Linked DNA regions of Xenopus tropicalis. The protein of the gene in region 1 interacts with the protein of each later gene in a biochemical or structural test. Links are inferred from orthologs where the notes say so. Each region holds a gene or a part of one and is shown in the gene's direction. Other genes may lie near its edges.

Evidence for each region.
Region 2: of the proteins of dtl (region 1) and chek1, one has a biochemical effect on the other in vitro, tested with the Homo sapiens proteins (2 studies listed by BioGRID). The link is inferred for Xenopus tropicalis from reciprocal best matches to the Homo sapiens genes DTL and CHEK1.
Region 3: of the proteins of dtl (region 1) and cdkn1a, one has a biochemical effect on the other in vitro, tested with the Homo sapiens proteins (3 studies listed by BioGRID, with this or other methods). The link is inferred for Xenopus tropicalis from reciprocal best matches to the Homo sapiens genes DTL and CDKN1A.
Region 4: the proteins of dtl (region 1) and cul4b form a complex in vitro, tested with the Homo sapiens proteins (2 studies listed by BioGRID). The link is inferred for Xenopus tropicalis from reciprocal best matches to the Homo sapiens genes DTL and CUL4B.
Region 5: the proteins of dtl (region 1) and kmt5a form a complex in vitro, tested with the Homo sapiens proteins (2 studies listed by BioGRID, with this or other methods). The link is inferred for Xenopus tropicalis from reciprocal best matches to the Homo sapiens genes DTL and KMT5A.

Annotation. Positions count from the first base shown.
Region 1 is NC_030681.2:14,739,132-14,742,648, reverse strand, and holds part of dtl (denticleless protein homolog), read left to right. Parts: intron 1-1,723; coding exon 1,724-1,797; intron 1,798-3,070; coding exon 3,071-3,174; intron 3,175-3,517. UniProt on the Homo sapiens protein: Substrate-specific adapter of a DCX (DDB1-CUL4-X-box) E3 ubiquitin-protein ligase complex required for cell cycle control, DNA damage response and translesion DNA synthesis.
Region 2 is NC_030683.2:74,045,670-74,049,186, reverse strand, and holds part of chek1 (serine/threonine-protein kinase Chk1), read left to right. Parts: coding exon 1-59; intron 60-3,069; coding exon 3,070-3,171; intron 3,172-3,517. UniProt on the Homo sapiens protein: Serine/threonine-protein kinase which is required for checkpoint-mediated cell cycle arrest and activation of DNA repair in response to the presence of DNA damage or unreplicated DNA.
Region 3 is NC_030678.2:54,653,600-54,657,116, reverse strand, and holds part of cdkn1a (cyclin-dependent kinase inhibitor 1), read left to right. Parts: intron 1-1,610; coding exon 1,611-1,979; intron 1,980-2,629; coding exon 2,630-2,682; 3' UTR 2,683-3,517. UniProt on the Homo sapiens protein: Plays an important role in controlling cell cycle progression and DNA damage-induced G2 arrest. Involved in p53/TP53 mediated inhibition of cellular proliferation in response to DNA damage.
Region 4 is NC_030684.2:46,091,664-46,095,814, reverse strand, and holds the start of cul4b (cullin-4B), read left to right. Parts: upstream 1-1,339; 5' UTR 1,340-1,531; coding exon 1,532-1,943; intron 1,944-4,151.
Region 5 is NC_030677.2:161,074,426-161,078,606, reverse strand, and holds the start of kmt5a (N-lysine methyltransferase KMT5A), read left to right. Parts: upstream 1-1,364; 5' UTR 1,365-1,508; coding exon 1,509-1,518; intron 1,519-4,181. UniProt on the Homo sapiens protein: Protein-lysine N-methyltransferase that monomethylates both histones and non-histone proteins. Specifically monomethylates 'Lys-20' of histone H4 (H4K20me1).

The DNA of each region.
Region 1 (3,517 bases):
TCCACCCAAATTTTTTGCCTCTCAAGATAAAGCACAGACTGCCTTTCTGTGGGCCAACAAACCTCCCAGATTCTCCAGAGCCAAACTTAGAGCACCAATCACGGAAGGCGGTCTAGGTCTCCCACATTGGCAATTTTACTTCCTAGCAGCACAGGTCTATTACGTCCAATGGTGGTTCTCCCCAGATCTCACTAACCCCAATGTTCCACTCCAGGCAACCTTAGCTAGCTCAATGGAGTCTCTGAAGTATATCCCATTTCGTAAACCATTAGATATCCAAACCAACCACCCAGTCATTGTGACACCCTACAAAGCATGGCAAAAGATACTACAATTATACAAATTGAAACGTCCAATCCTATCACCGGGCCTGCCATTGTGGGGAAACTACTACTTACCCAACTTCCAACAAATTGCCCCATACCGGGTGTGGCCACACTGGGGCATACGTACACTGGGAGATGTGACCAATGCTGGGGCCCTGCTACCTAGGAGCCAGATCAAACACATAGATACTGGAGACCTATTACCCTGGTTCTCATACTTACAACTCCAACAGGCCTTCCGACACCAATTCCAAAGAACCATAGTCCCCTTTGTGCTTACTAAGCTTGAAACCACCCTTCGAAACCCCTCCCCCAAAAAGCTGATCACCACAGTATACTCTCTGCTCCTCTCTACGCTCCAATCGCCCTTTCTCACAGCCCAAAAAGCTTGGTGCCAAGACATACCGGAGCTGCACAACGAAGACTGGGAGGAAGCGACAGACAGGGCCTATGACTACTTGATCTCTACAAGAGACAAACTAATCCAATGCAAAATCATTCATAAACTCCATCTGACCCCCTTACGGTTATATCGAATGGGAATTTGTGATTCGTCTCAGTGCCCTAAATGTGGTGCCCCTGAAGCCGACTATTTTCACCTAATGTGGTTATGCCCACAAATACACTACTTTTGGGACCAGGTCCTTGACCACATCCAAAATGCAACATCTTTACCTAAAATACTCGATCCCAAGATTTGTTTACTTGGCATTATAGATGATATCATTCCTAAATCAGCATCACGCATCCTCTTTAGAACATTATTGTTTTATGCCAGGAAATGTATCCTCTTGCAATGGATGGCACACTCTCCCCCGACAATCCCTACTTGGCTCAATTTACTTAAAGCCCTTCTGCCACTGATACAACTCACTTACACAGCAAGGGGATGCCCCCAAAAATATGACAAAGTATGGGGAGGATGGGTCGAGGCTATGGAATAGCATCACATAATCTTGTCCCAAAGAATCCGAATCCCACTGAGAACCCCAGAGTCCACTTCACCCTCTCTGACGGAAGCCTTAACATTACCTTGAGTAGGTTGTTACTGATTATATAAGTCAATGTACTGTATATATCCTGACATGAACAGAATTCGCTTGTAGAACCAATGTCATTGTTTAATGTTGTTTTATGTTACAAATGCATAAATAAAAACCTTTGAAAAAAAAAAAATAACAAATGCTGAAATATCACTAGATTATGAACTAATCACTCAGCATTGCTTGAATTCTTTTTCCTGACTGTTGAGGCCTTGTCTAGAGTGACCCATTTTAGTTGAGTCTCTTGACAAACTAGGTTTTCCTGTTATTGATGTGGGACTTGTCCCCCCCTGTATGTGTCACGAGCGTTAGTTTATTTTCTTGTCATCTTACAAATCTTTGCTTCTATTTTAGGATTCCCAGCAGAGTGTGACTGTGGTAATCTTTCAAGATGAGCACACCATTATCTCGGCAGGAGCAGTGGATGGGTAAGTAGTTCTTACTGCTCTTTAAATGCTATTCGTGCCTGTTGCTTTGAGATGAACTAGGGCACATCTCAGATCTCCTTCTGTGCAAAACCCCATTTGGCTCAACAGCTTAAACCCATGAGCAAGCTTTATTGGTTGTTATATCTCAGTTTCACAGTTGTGCGGCATTTGTTTGCTACATTCAATTCAAGTTTGTTATATTACTAAAATCATGTTTAAAATGGTTACCTTTCCAGGTAACATTGATAACACATAGGGGCACATTTACTAATCCACGAATCCGAATGGGAAAAAATCGGATTGTAAACAAAAATTTTGCAACTTTTTCTTCGCCGTCTCGTTTTTTCGTATTTTGCACAATTTTTTCGTGGCCATCACGACTTTATCGTATTTTGCACTACTTTTTTGTCGCTGTCGCAATTTTTTCGTATTGAGCAATTGTAAACGGCAGAAAAACCAATCCGATTTTTTCACGATGGCGACGAAAAAGTCGCGGAAAATATATGATAAAGTCGGAACAGCGATGAAAAAATCGCGGGACATGCGAAAAAGTTGTGACGGCAACGAAAAAGTCGCAAAAATACAGATCATTACGAAAAACGCGTGGACGCTTTCGGTCCGCTCGTGCATTAGTAAATCTGCCCCTTAGTGTAATGTAGAAAGTGATATTCTGAGACTATTTGCAATTTTCATTTATTTGTAGTTTATGAATTTGGCTTTTTGTCAAGCAACTCTCTGGTTTGGTATTTCAGCAGCTATCTGGTTGCTTGGGTTAAGATTACCCTAGCAACCAGGCATTGGTGTAAATGTAAGGCTGGTATTTGAGTAGGGGAGTTCCTGAATAGAAAGGTCAGGAATATAATTTAACAGATACAAAAAAATGGCTACTTGGGTCAGTGACCCCCATTTGAAAGCTGGAAAGTCAGAAGAAGGCAAATAAACTATAAAGACCAAATGAAAAGTTGCTTAGAGCTGGCCATTCTATAACATAATAAAAATGTACAGGTGAGCCAGCCCTTTGTTTAAATGAAGCACTGGAAACAAAACTGCCATACTGCTCACACTTGATCATTTTCTGCAGATTTATTTGCATTAGTGTTGCTTGTAGTGTTGGCTCTGCAGTAGAATGTGGCGCCCAATCGCACAACATGTAAGGTTTCAGTTCAGGCGCGTGGCTGCTCGCTGGTTTTTAGCCCAAGAAGAGAATGCGCAGTAAAGTACAGCTGCTCATGGTTTAACTGCTTCAGCTATATCCCCTTTTGCTTATTTTTAGTATTGTCAAGGTTTGGGACTTGAGGAAAAACTACAGTGCGTATCGGCAGGATCCTGTGCCAGCGAAACTCTTTCCTTATCCAGGAAATAGCACCCGCAAACTTGGTATGCAAGCTTTGGCTTCTTTGTTTTACTTAAAATGGGGAATGATGACAAACCTGTAATATGAGCTTCATCTGATCATAAGAAACTTTCTAAATAAAATCCGTTAAAATGTGAACTTACTAAAATAAGCAAAGTTAATCTTCTTTAACCCACCCTTTCAGCACTCTAAAGGTCCCCATACACCTTCAGATCCACTCGCTTGGTGATGTTGCCAAACGAGCGGATCTTGTCCCGATATCCCCCACCTACGGGTGGGCGATATCGGGAGAATCCAGGCTAATTCGATCATTTGGGCGATTTGGTCCCCGATCCGACTAGATTTTTTAACCTGCCCGATCGATAT
Region 2 (3,517 bases), on another chromosome or scaffold:
ATTTGATGGACACTTGTGAAAAAATGGGATATGTTTTAAAGAAGTCTTGTGCTAACCAGGTGAGTACCCCCTCAATAAAGCTTCTAATCATATGATTTTAGGCTTACATTTTCCAAAACCCCAGTAAACAAGAAAAAGCATATAAAACAAACAAAAATACTATTTATTGTAAACACAAAAAAACTATAAAAGTAAAAAGTGTACATTAGTTTCTTCTATCCTTGTTTTTAGAAAACAATCTTATTTCCTATGGGTCAAAAATGTACATACACCTTGCAGACTGTTTTTGTCTTGACGATTGAAGGATCAAAGGTGATCTTAATCAATCTCTAAGCTATTACTGTAAAATTTAATTTTTCAATAAAAGTTGATATGTAAAAGCAATAATGATAGGCCAATTCTAGTAGTCTGAAAAGATTTAAAGGTCTTTGAAACTTGCTCTTCAAAAAAGCAGTAAACGAAACGTAAAGGTGTGCTTTTTAATGTTTGAAATTTTTACATTTCTGTTGCCATTTTAACAATGCCTTTTGGCTCTGAGGTATATTTTGGGGTAATAGTTCTTGTACAAGTAATATAGACCCTTAAGATCTTTGGCTTTTCAACACAAGCAGCAATTGTTGAAACTGAAACCTCAGGGTGTTTACATTTTTGGCTGGAGTGAGGCCAGGGAAAATAGTCAGAATAACAATTTAGGTACAGGTATGGGACCTGTTTTCCAGAATGCTCGGGATATGGGGTTTTCCAGATAAGGAATCTTTCTGTAATTTGGATTTCTATAACTTAAATCTGCTAAAAATCATTTATTGAATAAACCCAATAGGATTGTTTTGCCTTCAATAAGGATTAATTATATCTTAGTTGATATCAAGTACATGGTACAGTTTTATTATTACAGAGAAAAAGGAAATCATTTTTAAAAATTAGAATTATTTGCTTATAATGGAGTCTATGGGAGATGAACTTTCTGGATAAATGGTTTCTGGATAAGCGATCCCATAGCTGTAGTATAATTGGTGGAGCTTACTAATTTTCTTTAAATCATAAATGGCAAATTAGGAACATGGCACATTTTTTTATCAGACAGCAGTCACTGGATACTGTCCAGAAATACTATCCAAAAATCAGTACATATAAAGGGGCAGTTTACCTCCTTTTCAGCATCTATGAATAGGGCTTGTGCTGAACATAGTTTCTGCCTATTGTTGTATTCAACACAAAGGTCTATGGGTTTTTTTTTTCTTTTTGTTATTCCTATGAACACCACGGGTTTACTGAACAGTTACCAGATACCAGATGTGTATAGGTTTACCCAAGTATGTGGCATTTAGAGGCCCATAAATGGTGATGAGATGAGAGGCTTGATAAAGGGCTGGATTGAAGCCTGAAATGTTGCTTTTGGCACTGTAAAGTTTCAAATTTTTTCAAAACAACCGGAGTGCTGCTGTTTTCATCATTTTTGTACTTATTTGCCCGGGCAGTGGGTACAGCGTGCACCTGGGGCTACAAAAAGCTATTTTCACTGTGTAAGCGCATGTTAACTGATTCTATTTGCCATATTATCTGTCATGTTACTGCAAAATCAACACATTGACAGCATTTTAAGTGGGGTAAACCTAGAAAAAAGTTCTTTCCTAAACGTCTTGATTTTGATGAACTTTCTAAAAATCACCTCAAAACTTCCAGCATATTATCTCCTACAGGTCATTAGGTACCCTAGAGGTCTACAGAACAGTTTGATGCTCACTGTACATAGGTTTATCAAAGCACATGGCCCTCAGGAACCCCAAAATATACCTTATGCGCACTAATTTCATGACTTCCATTCACCTAATCCATAAACACACTGGCAGTTTTATGTGTGGTACAAACTGCAAAAAAGTAGGGTGACCTCTGAAAGCCATATATTTTAGAAACAGCGCAAATTTTGTAAGGTTAGCGGTTCTGAAAGCATTTTTAAAAATCGCCTAAAAATCTTGCAATTAGCCTCATTTATCTTGCAGTTTTTTTTTACATACAAAGGCAAATCACCCCAAATATGAACACCAGAAGTCTACTGAACAGTTTTATGCCCAATATTCATAGATATACCAAAGTATGTGAAATGTACAAACCCCAAATTAAATATAAAGCATATGACGTTTTCTCGTCTGCCAAATGAAGTTTTCTCGTCTGCCAAAATTAATTTCTGCAAAACGAGCCCCATGACTGCATATTGTATATATGAAAGACCCCCTAACTGTACAGAAGCTTACGGAAAACAATATGTTTTTGGAAAGTACACATTTTGACAGTTTCAACATTGGTGTAAAAAGGCGTCTTTACCAAAGTACCAATCTGTCTAAAAATGTTGCAATATGACGCATTTATCTTACACAGTTTCTTACATACAAAAGCAGTTTACCCCAAATATGAATGCCAGAGGTCTCCAGCTTTGTTATCACATTTGCATACGGAGTATACAAATGAGACAAAATTGCAAATTAAAGGCCCACCCAAAAAGAAACATTACATTTCACATACATACTGTGCAAGTGCAAACACATATTTTGCATATACCTGTACATACACAGAGCAATGAATAAATAATTATGTGCTAGAGAATTAAATCAATTTTCTTTAGTTTACGCTACCTGTTTAACAAACCAACAATTCCTAATTTGATTAGGAAAATAGGAATTGTTGGTTTGGTATATCTATGCATATGGTGCTTCAAAGTATGCATTATGTAGAGACCCCAAAATGAAAAAAATGTATATGAATTTTCTCGCCTGCCAACTCAGCTTTTGCAAACCTGGCTCCCTGACAGCGTATTATGTGCCATAACAGCCCCTAACTGTACAGAGGGTAACTGACAGCAGATGAGAGCATGTGCTGTAAACTGGAAGAAAAGAATATTGGTTGCTTATGCGATAATTTTTTTGTTTAAAGGACTGTTATAATATGTAGTCTAATTGTTTGTTAATACAATTACATTATGAAGTAAGTTAATACAAGCATTATTAGTATACTTGTTTTTCAAGAAAAAAACTGCATCTGTATAATTAGGTACTTTGTTTTTGTCTACTACAGGTCACCCTATCAACTACTGACAGAAGAAATAATAAATTAATATTCAAGGTGAACCTTGTGGAAATGGAAGACAGGATTCTGTTAGATTTTAGACTTTCTAAGGTATATTGAATGCTTTGGGTTTTCTGTTACTGCTACGCTGCCAGCTATCTAAAAGTGTGTTTATAGTCGACCCCTTGTCTGCCTGTGGCTCGCAAGTAACTGACTACCATCACAGTAGATTTCTCTGTTCTGCGACATGCAATTAAAATCTTACACATGCAGTTTTGACTGTGTATTAACTTTCAGTGCAGCCATTGCTGCTAGAATGCACTATGTATTGCAGTCATTGGTTTTTATATTTATGTTCATGTATTAATAACATTGGCCACCTTTAGCAGTAAAGGGGGGTGCCTAACATCTTAACACCCCCAATGATCCTTACTGTTCTTATCCTTTTATAAAAATC
Region 3 (3,517 bases), on another chromosome or scaffold:
AACTGCTTCCAAAATCCGTCTTATATCTTAAATGAATTGCTCTCTATAGTAATATATAGGGCCAAATTCCAATCAACAAGAATATATGGACGAGATTAAATTTGAGGCTAGAAACATTGGGCCCGATTCACTAAAGTCCGAAATAAGGAGTGCTATATATAGCATGCGTTAAAAATCTTATCACTTCTTATTTTTCGCTCGATTCACTAAAAGGACACTTGTCATAATTAAGAAGCGATGTTCTTGGCGTTATTTATCTTGCGACGACATATTTTCAAGCAATATATTACGCAGCGCACAACATATTACGCAGCGTGCGATATTTTACGCAGAGCGCAATATATTACCCACGTAACCATTACTTTCTGAAGACTACCGTTCTGAAAATTTTGCGCTCTGCGTAAAATATAGCGTGCTGCGTAATATGTTGTGCGCTGCGTAATATATTGCTTGAAAATATGTTGTCGCAAGATAAATAACGCCAAGAACATCGCTTCTTAATTATGACAAGTGTCCTTTTAGTGAATCGAGCGAAAAATAAGAAGTGATAAGATTTTTAACGCATGCTATAAATAGCACTCCTTATTTCGGACTTTAGTGAATCGGGCCCATTTTCTCCTAATTCAGTTTTCATGTAATAAACAGTGCAATACATTTTTCTTATTGAATTGCATCTGAAATTGATTTAGGAGATAAGCTTTTCTCATAAATGTGAATCTGACCCATCATTCTTTATGCATCAGGGAAAAATCTCTGTTCCACAAGAAATAATAAATAACTTACAATTTTTCCATTTATGTGTGTTGTTGTCATTATCAGACCTGCTCCTGAAGCCTTTATTCAATATGGCGTTTATCAAGTAGGGCTATTCAGTAACACTATTCTTTCATTAATGCTATATAATAGTGTACAGTGTTCACAGTTCTCAGTTATTTGGCTAATGAGTACCTTAATTACAAATAAGGCTAAATGTAAATGATGGAAAACTTGTATAATTTTGCCTCTACAATGCAAAAGTATTTACCTCTTATCGGTGTTGTGGCTGCCACTAAGCACACGTGATGCAAGAATACCAATGCAAAACTTGTACCTCTTACCATAGGGATTCAAGTTGCAGTTGCATCATTATGGGCATCACACTGACAGGGCATGTTGTTTATCTTACACTCCTTCTGACTTCAAATGCCCAGAATAGGGTGTGGCCATGTATTTTATGACTGAATAATGATAATGCGTAGAACTAGGACACCAATGGCCCACCAGAGAACATGATATAGCGGGCCCACCATTCAGAGCCCTTAAACATTTTCTTCATTTTCTTCTGGTATCCCCATGTTTGAGAGGTTTATTGTTAAAATGTAACTGATTAAAAGCCAAGAATATTGCAGCACAGCAACCAATGTGGCAGCTTCCAATACGATAGATTTAGGAATAATTCTATGTGGTTTCTGTGCACTTGTGTGTGTTTTATTAGTTGCATTATTGCTGCACAAGCTGGCTAAGCGCTAAGAGCAATACAGTATATACAGACAGACTGATTGATGTTGACTGAAGGGAACAATATTTACTGTATTTTTAATGTTGCAACAATTGTTTTTCTGCCCTTTCAGAGAAAATGCAGTCAGCCATAGCCATCCTCAAGCAAGCATCTGGAAATAAGGAAAAGGCTTGTCGAATGCTTTTTGAAGCTGTGGACCATGAACAGCTAAAAACTGAATTTCATGAACTTATGCAGAGATCCAACGAGGAAGCAAAAGCTAAATGGAACTTTGACTTTGTCACTGAAACTCCTCTTGAAGGGCAATATGATTGGGAGAAGGTAGAAGACAAAACCTTGAATTGCAATTCGCAGGAAAGTGAAAAAGAAAACCAGTGCCAAGATGTAGCCGCAGAGATGTGTAACATTAACCAATCCCATAAAGCTTCCCAGAATTGTGAAAGCAGCGATTCAGGCAAAAGGAAACAAAAGCTGATCACAGGTAATTGTAACAGTTCCACATAGCAGTTAGAATATAAATATTATCAGAGAGTATGCTCTGTAGCAGTGATCTCAAACCAGTAGCTCACAAGCATGTTAACCAACCCCTTTTATATTGCTCCCAGTGGTCTCAAACAGGTGCTCATTTTTGAATTTCTAACTTAGAAGAGAGACTTCTGACTTTTTCCATCTTCCAGTTTAAAACACTATTGGGGTTATATGATAAAAGACCCATAGCAACCAATTAGCAGGTAGAATTAACTGGTTACCTATTTAAAAGAAAACATATTGGTTGCTTGGGGTAACTGCTACTGGGCAAACTTAGCACATTTTATTACACATGGCGGCATGTGTACTGCCAAACAGAGCCTGTAGCTTGCCAGTCCACATTGGGCTACCAAATAACCTACCACATCCCTACTTTTTTATATTTAAATGCTGCTCACAGGTAAAAAAAGGTTAGGGGCCCCTGCTTTATAGGATATACACTCATTGCATCATTAGTGCTGCTCCAATGTATATGCTGCATTCTTTCATTAACTGGTTTTTGCATGACTTGACATCAAGTATTGCAAGTATTCTTAGCACCCATTATTATACTTAGCAACCATTATTAATATTTAATCTCTGCTTCTGTTTTTGCCTTAACAGATTTTTATCCTGTCAAGCGGAGATGTTCACCTAAACCCAGCCCCCGCGATTGATCACTATGCTGTTTGTGAGGTCCTTTCTTTGGACCTGAACAAATTTTCATTTCTCAGTTTAAGGTGTCAGAACGCTGGATTTTCATGCTCTTATACAAAACCTGGACTTTAATGGACATTACATAGACTCCAGAGAACTTCAAAATCCTCACAGATTGTACCTCACTATTACTTTAATAATTTAAACAACCGGAAGAAGAGATAAGCATTAGCTTTAGTGGTGTATGTTTGCTGAGTTTCTAGTTGTTGCAAAATACTTTTTTTGTAATTCTAAATAGTAAAACACTGCGGTTTTATAGATATATGTATATAAATGATACTAAGTTAATGAAAATGGCTAATATTTAGAAGTTTGCAACAGATTTTGACAAGATTCAGAGCAATATTCAGTAATGCACTAAAATGTTAGTCCATGTGTGCAGGCCACTTTGCTTTAGCACTCAGCATCATACCTTGGGGCTTTTTAAAGGGGACCATACACTGGATAATACTCTTCAGTATCCTACCAATCAGCCCTCTGGCTGAATTGGCGGCTACCATATGAGTGGCCATTTACATGTATGGCTGCCATACTAGTGTTCCATTTGTTTAATTAAACAATTGAAATAGCAGGAAGTGAAGAGGAGCTACAAATTTTCTTTACTCCTTCATCTATTGATGCATATTGCATCAGCAGATGAACAGATCAATATGTCAGAATAATATATCTGGGCATGTAAAGCCAGCTTAACTGTGCTAACACTGATATCTTTAAAATACTACCACCTGGAGGGTGGGTGGACATCATTTTCACGTCCAGTTGTTAAATGTTTTTCTTGCACTTACAGAGTTATTG
Region 4 (4,151 bases), on another chromosome or scaffold:
ATGGCAGCAACGCCCGTGAGTTCTACAAACACCTAGCTTCAACATTATTTGGGTATATATAGTTTATATTTGTAAGTGTATAGATTGGTCTATATAGGTATGTGTATTTTTGTGCACTGGGGTTTTTAGAGATGTTGAACTTGATAGGCTTTGGGCTTTTGTCAACCCAAATTAGTTATTTAGTTATATGTAACATCTCTATTAAGCTTTACCAGATGATTCATAAGTGCTTTATGCAGTGACCAGTGCTTGCATATCTGTTAAAAAAAAAAAACAATTGAATAGGGTCAAGTGCTGAAACTAAGTATGAGCATACACCTTTTGGTGTGCTTAACATGTGTTGTTTTTGCTGGTGTTATAACTTGTATGCAGGCTCACAAGCACATAGAGAACCCAGAATAGCTGCTTTATAAAAAAAAAACACATTCAGCCATTGCTTTCAGTCAGAATCTGGTATACAGCTGCGTAATCCAATGGGAAGCCTTACTCTCCCAGAGATTATTATATCACCCAAATTGACCACTTTGTATGATATAAGTTTATTTTAATCTGGCACTTAAATGAATAGTGGGGTTAATATATGTACTTTTCATCCCTGCTATACACGCCATTATACATTGCTTTCAGACACAAACTTCATGTTTGACGCTTACTGAGTAGTAGTACTGAGTAGTTACTGAGGAGCTTCCACAAGGAACTCATTTTAAGCGGGAAGCGTCACACGCAACTACTGGCGCTCTCCTTTATGTAACTATTCTAAGCCTCTCCGGCCCCCACGCTGCTGAACAGGCGGTACCATGTGGAGGCATCAGGGGGAAATGTCACCCAAACCAAGCTGATTATTGGTCCTTATTCCCTTTAGGCGTCACTACAGAGGCGGGAATATTCAACCCTCGACTCCTCCCCCTCGAGTAGTTTCCAGCCTCAGCCCCTTCCTTCCCCTTGTCGGGACTCCTCGCCGGCACCAACCTAAGGCGGAAGCTCGGCGAGGAGAAAGGGGACGGATGAGGCCCGCACGGTCGGGCATTATGAAAGACCTCATCGCTAGTCCTTCCGGTCAGTCAAAACAAGGTACGAAGGTTGCCATGACATCACAGTAGAATAAAAAGGGGAGGGGAGAGAGGGAACACAGCCAGCCTTTCGCGCTATAGTTAATGCAGTAAGCGCTACCCCTTTGGTTTTGATAGTTTGGCAGCAGCTGGCGTCAAAGGCTCCCTGACTGTCCCGGCTGGGAAGGGGTGTGGGCTCACGGCAGCCTCCTGGGGAACTCTTCCCAACATGCACTGCGAGAGGAAGTGAGGCCATCTTTGGTTCCCTGCTCTTGTGACAATAAACAAGAAAAAGAGTGGGGATATCCGGAGAGCGGGGCCGGGGCCTTCACCGAGCAGAACTAAAGCAGAGTGCCTGCCGAGGGGGCCACTGGGAAGCGCTAACCAAAGGGCCACGTTAGCTGTTTGTTGCGGTCCCCACACGATCCAGCGGTCACACACAGTCTGGGCTGCCTTGAATCTTTTCTATTTGTGGTGTTTTCATGTTTCCCACAGGCTTATCAACCCCCAACCCCCCGGCGCAGGAGGTAAGGACTGAGGGAAACAGCACCTCCAAAAAGAGAAGGTTGAATATCAGCAGCAGCGATAAGGACGATTTGGACCCCCTGTCGCCCCCCAGAAACTCCTCTTCCTCCTCTAACCACATCCAAAAGAAGCTGCGTTTTGAAGACACTTTGGACTTTCTAGGACTCGATGTGAAGATGGCCGAGGAGTCTCCTTCTTCTTCCTGCTCATCCTCCTCTACTCCCCAGGCAGTGAGGAGTAAAAACCTGCTCATCTCCCCAGTGGGCGTTGGGCATCATGCCAATGGCCTCACAAAAGCCTCACCCGTGTCCAGTTTTGCCAACAGCAAGCCTGGCTCAGCCAAGAAGTTAGTCATCAAGAACTTTAAAGGTAAAGAGGGATGGCACCATTCAATCAGCTCTTTGATAGGTCACTTCAGGGAGTGTAATACTTTGACCAGAATGTGCTTAAGGACCAGGTGATTACAAGGGTGCTCTGGTCAAAATAAAATCTCCTTTAATTTGGAATTCAGAAACTAGCATGCTGTCTTGTGTCACCCAGTAGTTTGGGGCAAACGTTTGCCTGTTTGGTTTTTTCATGATGGTAAAATTACAGTTTCCTTTTGGCGTTATTTTATTATGGTTGAATCTATCTGGAATGGCAGTTTTGACTTCTAAGGGCTTGTGTATTGATGCACTCCTAACCAGCATAAAGCCAAAGTGTTTTAAGCTGGTAATGCTTGATTCTTTCTATAGGGATCCGCAATATTTTGGAGCACTTAGGGGATTTGATGCTTGTTACAAGCATTCCTGTTTGACCCAACCAGATCTGTGTGTCAATACTAAGAGCGCTACAGTTAAGGGATATCTTCAATGCAAAGGCAATCTTTTCTATTAAAAAAAAAATCTTTGTCACAACCGATCTAAGCTGCAGTGTCAATATTCCTGTGGGACTCATTGGCCAAAGCCATTTTTTTTTTTTTTTTTAGTATCTCATGGGACCAGTGCCAAAACACTGAAAATCTTTCTTCAATGTCCACTTCCAGAATAATTTGAAAGTGAACACTGTTTATTTTAGGCATTTGTCTACACACAACACACAAATCATGCTGGTGTTAGTGAAGCAACATTCAGGACTAAACTACACGGGAGCTTTTGTAGGATGGTTTCAGATCAACAGAAAGCATCCTTGCCCTTAGGGCTCTGGCACACGGGGAGATTAGTCGCCCGCGACTAATCTCCCTGAAATGCCATCCCACCTGTGTCTCGGGCATACGGGGTGGCGCGATTTCAATGAAATCGCGCAGGTTTCCTCTCGAGGCAACTTGCGCAATTTCACTGAAATCACGCCGCCAGCGATTTACATTTTCGCAGGTGGGATGGCAATCTGGGGAGATTAGTCGACCGCGAACAGGGAGTTTTGTTGTGGGCGACTAATTTCCCCATGTGCCAGAGCCCTTAGACAATCTGCTAAATAACTGTTAAGGTGATAACTGCAACACTTTACACAGATTTGTGAGGCTATTCACCATTTACTAACATGGCTAATCAGAATCAGGTCAGGCTGGTTCATTTTGGGCCCACACAGAAGTGTGTTTGTTGACATTTGCAAACAGATTGTTTAGTGGTATCAATGTGGCTTCTGGCCCTGATCTCTTTAGGGCTCTGGCACATGGGGAGATTAGTTGCCCGCGACAAATCTCCCTGTTCGCGGGCGACTAATTTCCCCGAAATGCCATCCCACCGGCGAAAATGTAAATCGGGATGGCGCGATTTCAGTGAAATCACGGATGTTTCCTCAAGGCAATTTCCGCGATTTCACTGAAATTGCCCTGCCGCATATGCCATCCCACTGGCGATTTACATTTTCGGGGAGATTAGTCGCCCGCGAACAGGGAGATTTGTCGCGGGCGACTAATCTCCCCGTGTGCCAGAGGCCTTAGTGCAAAGTGGGGGAATTTAATAATTTCTAAGAAATTTCTATCAGTTATTGGTGCATGAGCATTATGCAAACTGCAATGCATGTGCACCAGTTGCTAAGTGGGGGGGGGGTAAACTAGGCTGGTGCCTAGGATGGCACATGACCAATATACAGCCCTGGGTATGCCCATAATAAATTTATATATAAAGGTTTAGCTGATGCAGCTAAAATAAGGTAGAAACTCAGGAAATTGTGCTGTTAGTTTGCCTTTAAAAAGTAGTAATTGTATGTAAAAAAAAAAAATTACTCTGTTTTGGCAAAAGACCTTACCAGCCTCTTCATTTTTTTGTACAACTGGTATTAAGTGCTTGTGATTTTTTCTGATATACTAATAGTACAACTAATCCTATATCAAACAGACACAATGCACACCTAAATTGTAGTACTGTTTCATATACAGGCTTGAAGTAGAAATGAAGGAATTCTCGGCAAAAGAACTTGTCTGCTCATACAGTATAAAGGAGCATTGCCACATTTATTGGTAAACGGTGATACAAAGAGCAACAATACACTGTTTACTGTTTACAAAGGAGTATTATGTATGTCTATGTATTTGCAGTGGCAAACCTCTGCAGCACCAAGGGATACTTGCGTTTTTTTTTCTGGCTTTTTATAGAG
Region 5 (4,181 bases), on another chromosome or scaffold:
AGTTAACCTTTTTTTAAAGGCCAATGCAGATATTCAGATTTAAACTGTAACTATTCTCTGGTCCCACTCACCCTCACAACCAGGCAAATGGTTTGAATGACAGACTGGAAAATCAATAGAAGGTCTGAAACAAATTATATGTACTAAAAACAATCATAAGAATCTAGTGTCACTATTATGGCTGCTGGTAACTATGTCAGGTTAGGGCTAGAACACACATGGAATGCTAGTATCAATAAAGCACAACACATTATTTTCTAAGAATTCTTAAAGGGGTTATTTGTTTTAAGCATGTTATAGAATATTTTATTTTTTACACCTTTTCAGTTGGTCTTATTTTTCTTTTTATTCTGCCTCTTTTCAGCTCTCCCATGGAGGTCACTGACCCCAGCAGCCAAATAACTATTGCTCTGTTAGGCTAGAATTGTATTGTTATTTTTTGTTGCTTCTCATTCTATTGAGGCCCTGTCCGTCCTATTTATCTTCCAGTCTCTCACTGAAACCACTGCTTGATTGCTAGGGTAAACCTAACAAACACACAACTGTTTAAATTTCAAACTGGAGAGCTACTGAACAGAAAGCTTAATCATTCACAAACCTTTAAAAACATAACAATCAAAACCAATTGTAAATAGTTATAAACTCCATGGAAAGTTTGTAGGATGGTGTCCGATTGTCAAAACGCATCCTACTCCTAGGTCTGATGTAGTTGCATGGGTTAAAATACTGTATATATTGGAACTAAAACAAAAAACTGATGGGTAAGTACATGAAAGGATTACAATGGAACGCTACACGCCTATCGGAAGGAAACACTGAATGCAGGAACAAAACACACAGACCAACTTTATCTGATCCGACTTTAAGTTACAATTAATGGAGATCAGATTTTGTAGGCTACTACGCAGTCTACAGATCGTCTTTTGCGCTGCTCACCGTATTTATCGCTGCAGCGTTATCGTGCACCTTTTTAAATGCCCCCAAGGCGTTGTAACTTTATAGACAGTCCTTGGGATGGAAGCCCCAAATACTGTCTGATAAACACAACATACGCACGCAAAATTGTAATTATTGTTCTCCTCTGTTCTGCACACCTGAAAAACTCCGAACATTACCAAATGCCATTCAGTTTACACCCAGAACTCCTGCACAGTCATACTGACCAATGAGATTGCAACATCGTTCCCACCGGGTCCAATCAGACACAGGGTAATACAATTTTCAAAAAAGCACACGCGAAACTAGAGGGTCGTGGCCATTGTGTTGGGCGTTGCAATACGCTTGGTGTTACACCAATGCCATAAAAGGGTTGTTTCGATGGACAGCAATGTAAGCCAATTGTGGAAGAGATGGGCGGATACGTGCGGGTTTAAGCTTCTTTCTTAAAATGTGTTTCGTGGGGCTTTAAACCTAATGCAGTGGCGTGCATACTACATATTCCTTCTGCGTTTTGCTATTTATACTGTTGGATTTCGAGGCGAGCAGGGATAATCGAACACCAAGGCATCATGGGAAGAGGTACATTTGTGTATTTTAATTAATGAAACGTTTAGTAGTATGTAGTTAGTAGTGAAACAAACATGGCTAGATTGCATGTGCATCGTTAGTAATCTTGGGTCATACTAAGAAGATATTTGGTTCGCTATCGGGAATCAATGCTCCGCAATGTCTTAATAGTTTGTGTAGGTAGCCGGTCTGTAGGTGCGACTATGTGTTCAACCCAACAGCCGGAAAAGTAAGGCGTTTTAGTGCAAGGAAAGCAACTAGTGGGGGCACACTAATATTCTGCCCTGCAGCAGGGGGTAGGAGGCAGAAGGCACTGAAAATATCATCCTAAACTTTTGGAGAACCCTTACATGACTGCTATGGATCCCGGTAGCTTCTGATCATGTCACTGCTATTCACTGCTACATGAAAACCTAGAAAGGTCACTTCTCTTCCACCGAAACAAGTCTGTTAAAGGAACAGTAACACCAAAAAATGAAAGTGCATAAAAGTAATGTACTGTTGCCCTGCATTGCTACAACTGGTGTGTTTGCCTCCGAAAGACTACTATAGTTTATATAAGTTAGCTGCTGTGTAGCCATGGGGGCAGCCATTCAAAGGAGAAAAGGCACAGATTACTTAGCAGATAACAGCCTTTTCTCCTTTTTTCCAGCTTGAATGGCTGCCCCCATGGCTACACAGCAGCTTATTTATATAGTAGCTTTTCTGTAGCAAAAACACAATTTTTTGCAGAGCAACAGCACATTATATTTTAATTGCTTTAAAACACTTTAATTTTTTGATGTTACTGTTCCTTTAATCTGCTGGCTGCTGCTCATTTGTTTCAAAAGTCGGAACCATTAGGTTCAATGGGCAAACAGATGCTTTTAATTGCAGTTACAAATAAGTGACCCTTTTTATGAATAAATATTGGAAAGCTACGTTTTCTTTTTATTAGGTAAAATGTTGTCCTTTGGAGTTGATGACCATTTAATTTGATCTTAACCCTTGGCTTCCCCACCCTTCTGTCCACAGGGGGATGGCTCCCAATAGACCCATTTGTATGATAATATAGTCCCCTATAAGGCTAATGCCACACCTGTCTGTTTCTCTGCCTGCTTGGAAACATAGGCAGAGAAACTAATGATCCACTCCGTGATGTAGATAGGCACATCATTGGCCTCTTTGCTGACACATGGAGTGGATTTTGGTGTAGAAATGCATTCTCTTGCATGTGTTTACGCACAGTCTAAAACCATGCCTGTCAGTTCAGCTGTAGATGATGGTAGTGAATCAGCTGTATTAGCTGGAGGCAGATAAACAACTGTGTGTGACTTTAGCCTATTGTCTTTGTATCAGGAGGTGAAATAGAACACCATGGCCTCACAAATAATTATGCTTTGTCCATGGATGGAAAAAAATGATTGTCTAAAACTATGATTTTGTTATGGCATCAAAATCTCCATTACTTCACTATAGAAATTAATAACTTGATCTAAAAATAATTATATACTGTTAATATTTTAATGTGAATATAAACCTTTTAGGATAATGTAGTTCCTAAACAACAACAGCCGAATACCAGTAAAACACTGAAAAATAACTATGTAATTGTGTTGGCAAAACCCATTTGCCCAGTCCCTTATATCTGTCAGTCTCCACTAACGCAAATATATATTCAGCTGCTGATCTGTTTGGCCATTTGCTCTTGGTTCACACCTCAACTGTGCTTAATCTTCATTAGAATACTCTAATCTAAGGATGCACCAAACCTTTTTTTTTTTTTTAAATAATTTGGCCAAATACTGAATCCCCATAATTCTAAACCCCAATGTGCCTTTGTTTTTCTGAAGTTGCCTCCAAAGTCCTGTGTTCTGTGGAGAGTAGTTTCATGTGGTAGTAAAAATGAATAGTGCAGACTAAATTCCCCATGTGCCAGTACCATTAATGATCAATCAAGTCGGCCATATATGTACCAATATTATCATACAAAGCAAAGATTTCATGCAATGTGATTATTGGTATGTGTATAGCAGCCAGTGCATGGTACATTGGCAGAAGTAGCTGCTTTTGGGTTCTTGCTGTTGTGAACATTAGAACTATTTACCCTAACAATCACAATAATAAGTCAGCCACACCACATATGGCCTCTTGTATGTCTGTTGGGAGAGCATACCTGATCAGACTGCTCATGGCCTCCCAGTGGTGGAACTAGAGGTTACTGAGCCCCACAGCAAACTCATTTTTTTAGGGCCCAAAACATTGGTAAATTAACAAGTTCTATCAATATATATTTAAACTGCTCATTATCTAGTGCCTTACTGGTTCCCCTACACTCCTACCCCCCCCCCCCCCCCCCCCTGCATGCACAGGGTCTGCTTACACCCCTGTGGCCTCTTTTAAAGTGACAACCAACTTTTGCAAAAAGTACTGGGATTTGTACAAATATTAAACAATGGCTGTGAATTTGTGGTGGAATATGGTGGGTTTATTTATTCAACTATAATGTGACCGTGGGCCTTTAGCCGGCAGAATGAGTGTGCTTGCAGCCCTGCCCGGGTTCTTTCCGTCTCGGAGTCCCCCTGCCTCGCTGGGTAAGGTGACGTATGGCGGAACGGACAGTGCTGGGTTGGCACAGAGTAGGGCTGGTCCACATACACGTTCTGCGTACGGTTGCCATTAGCACAGAGACCGAT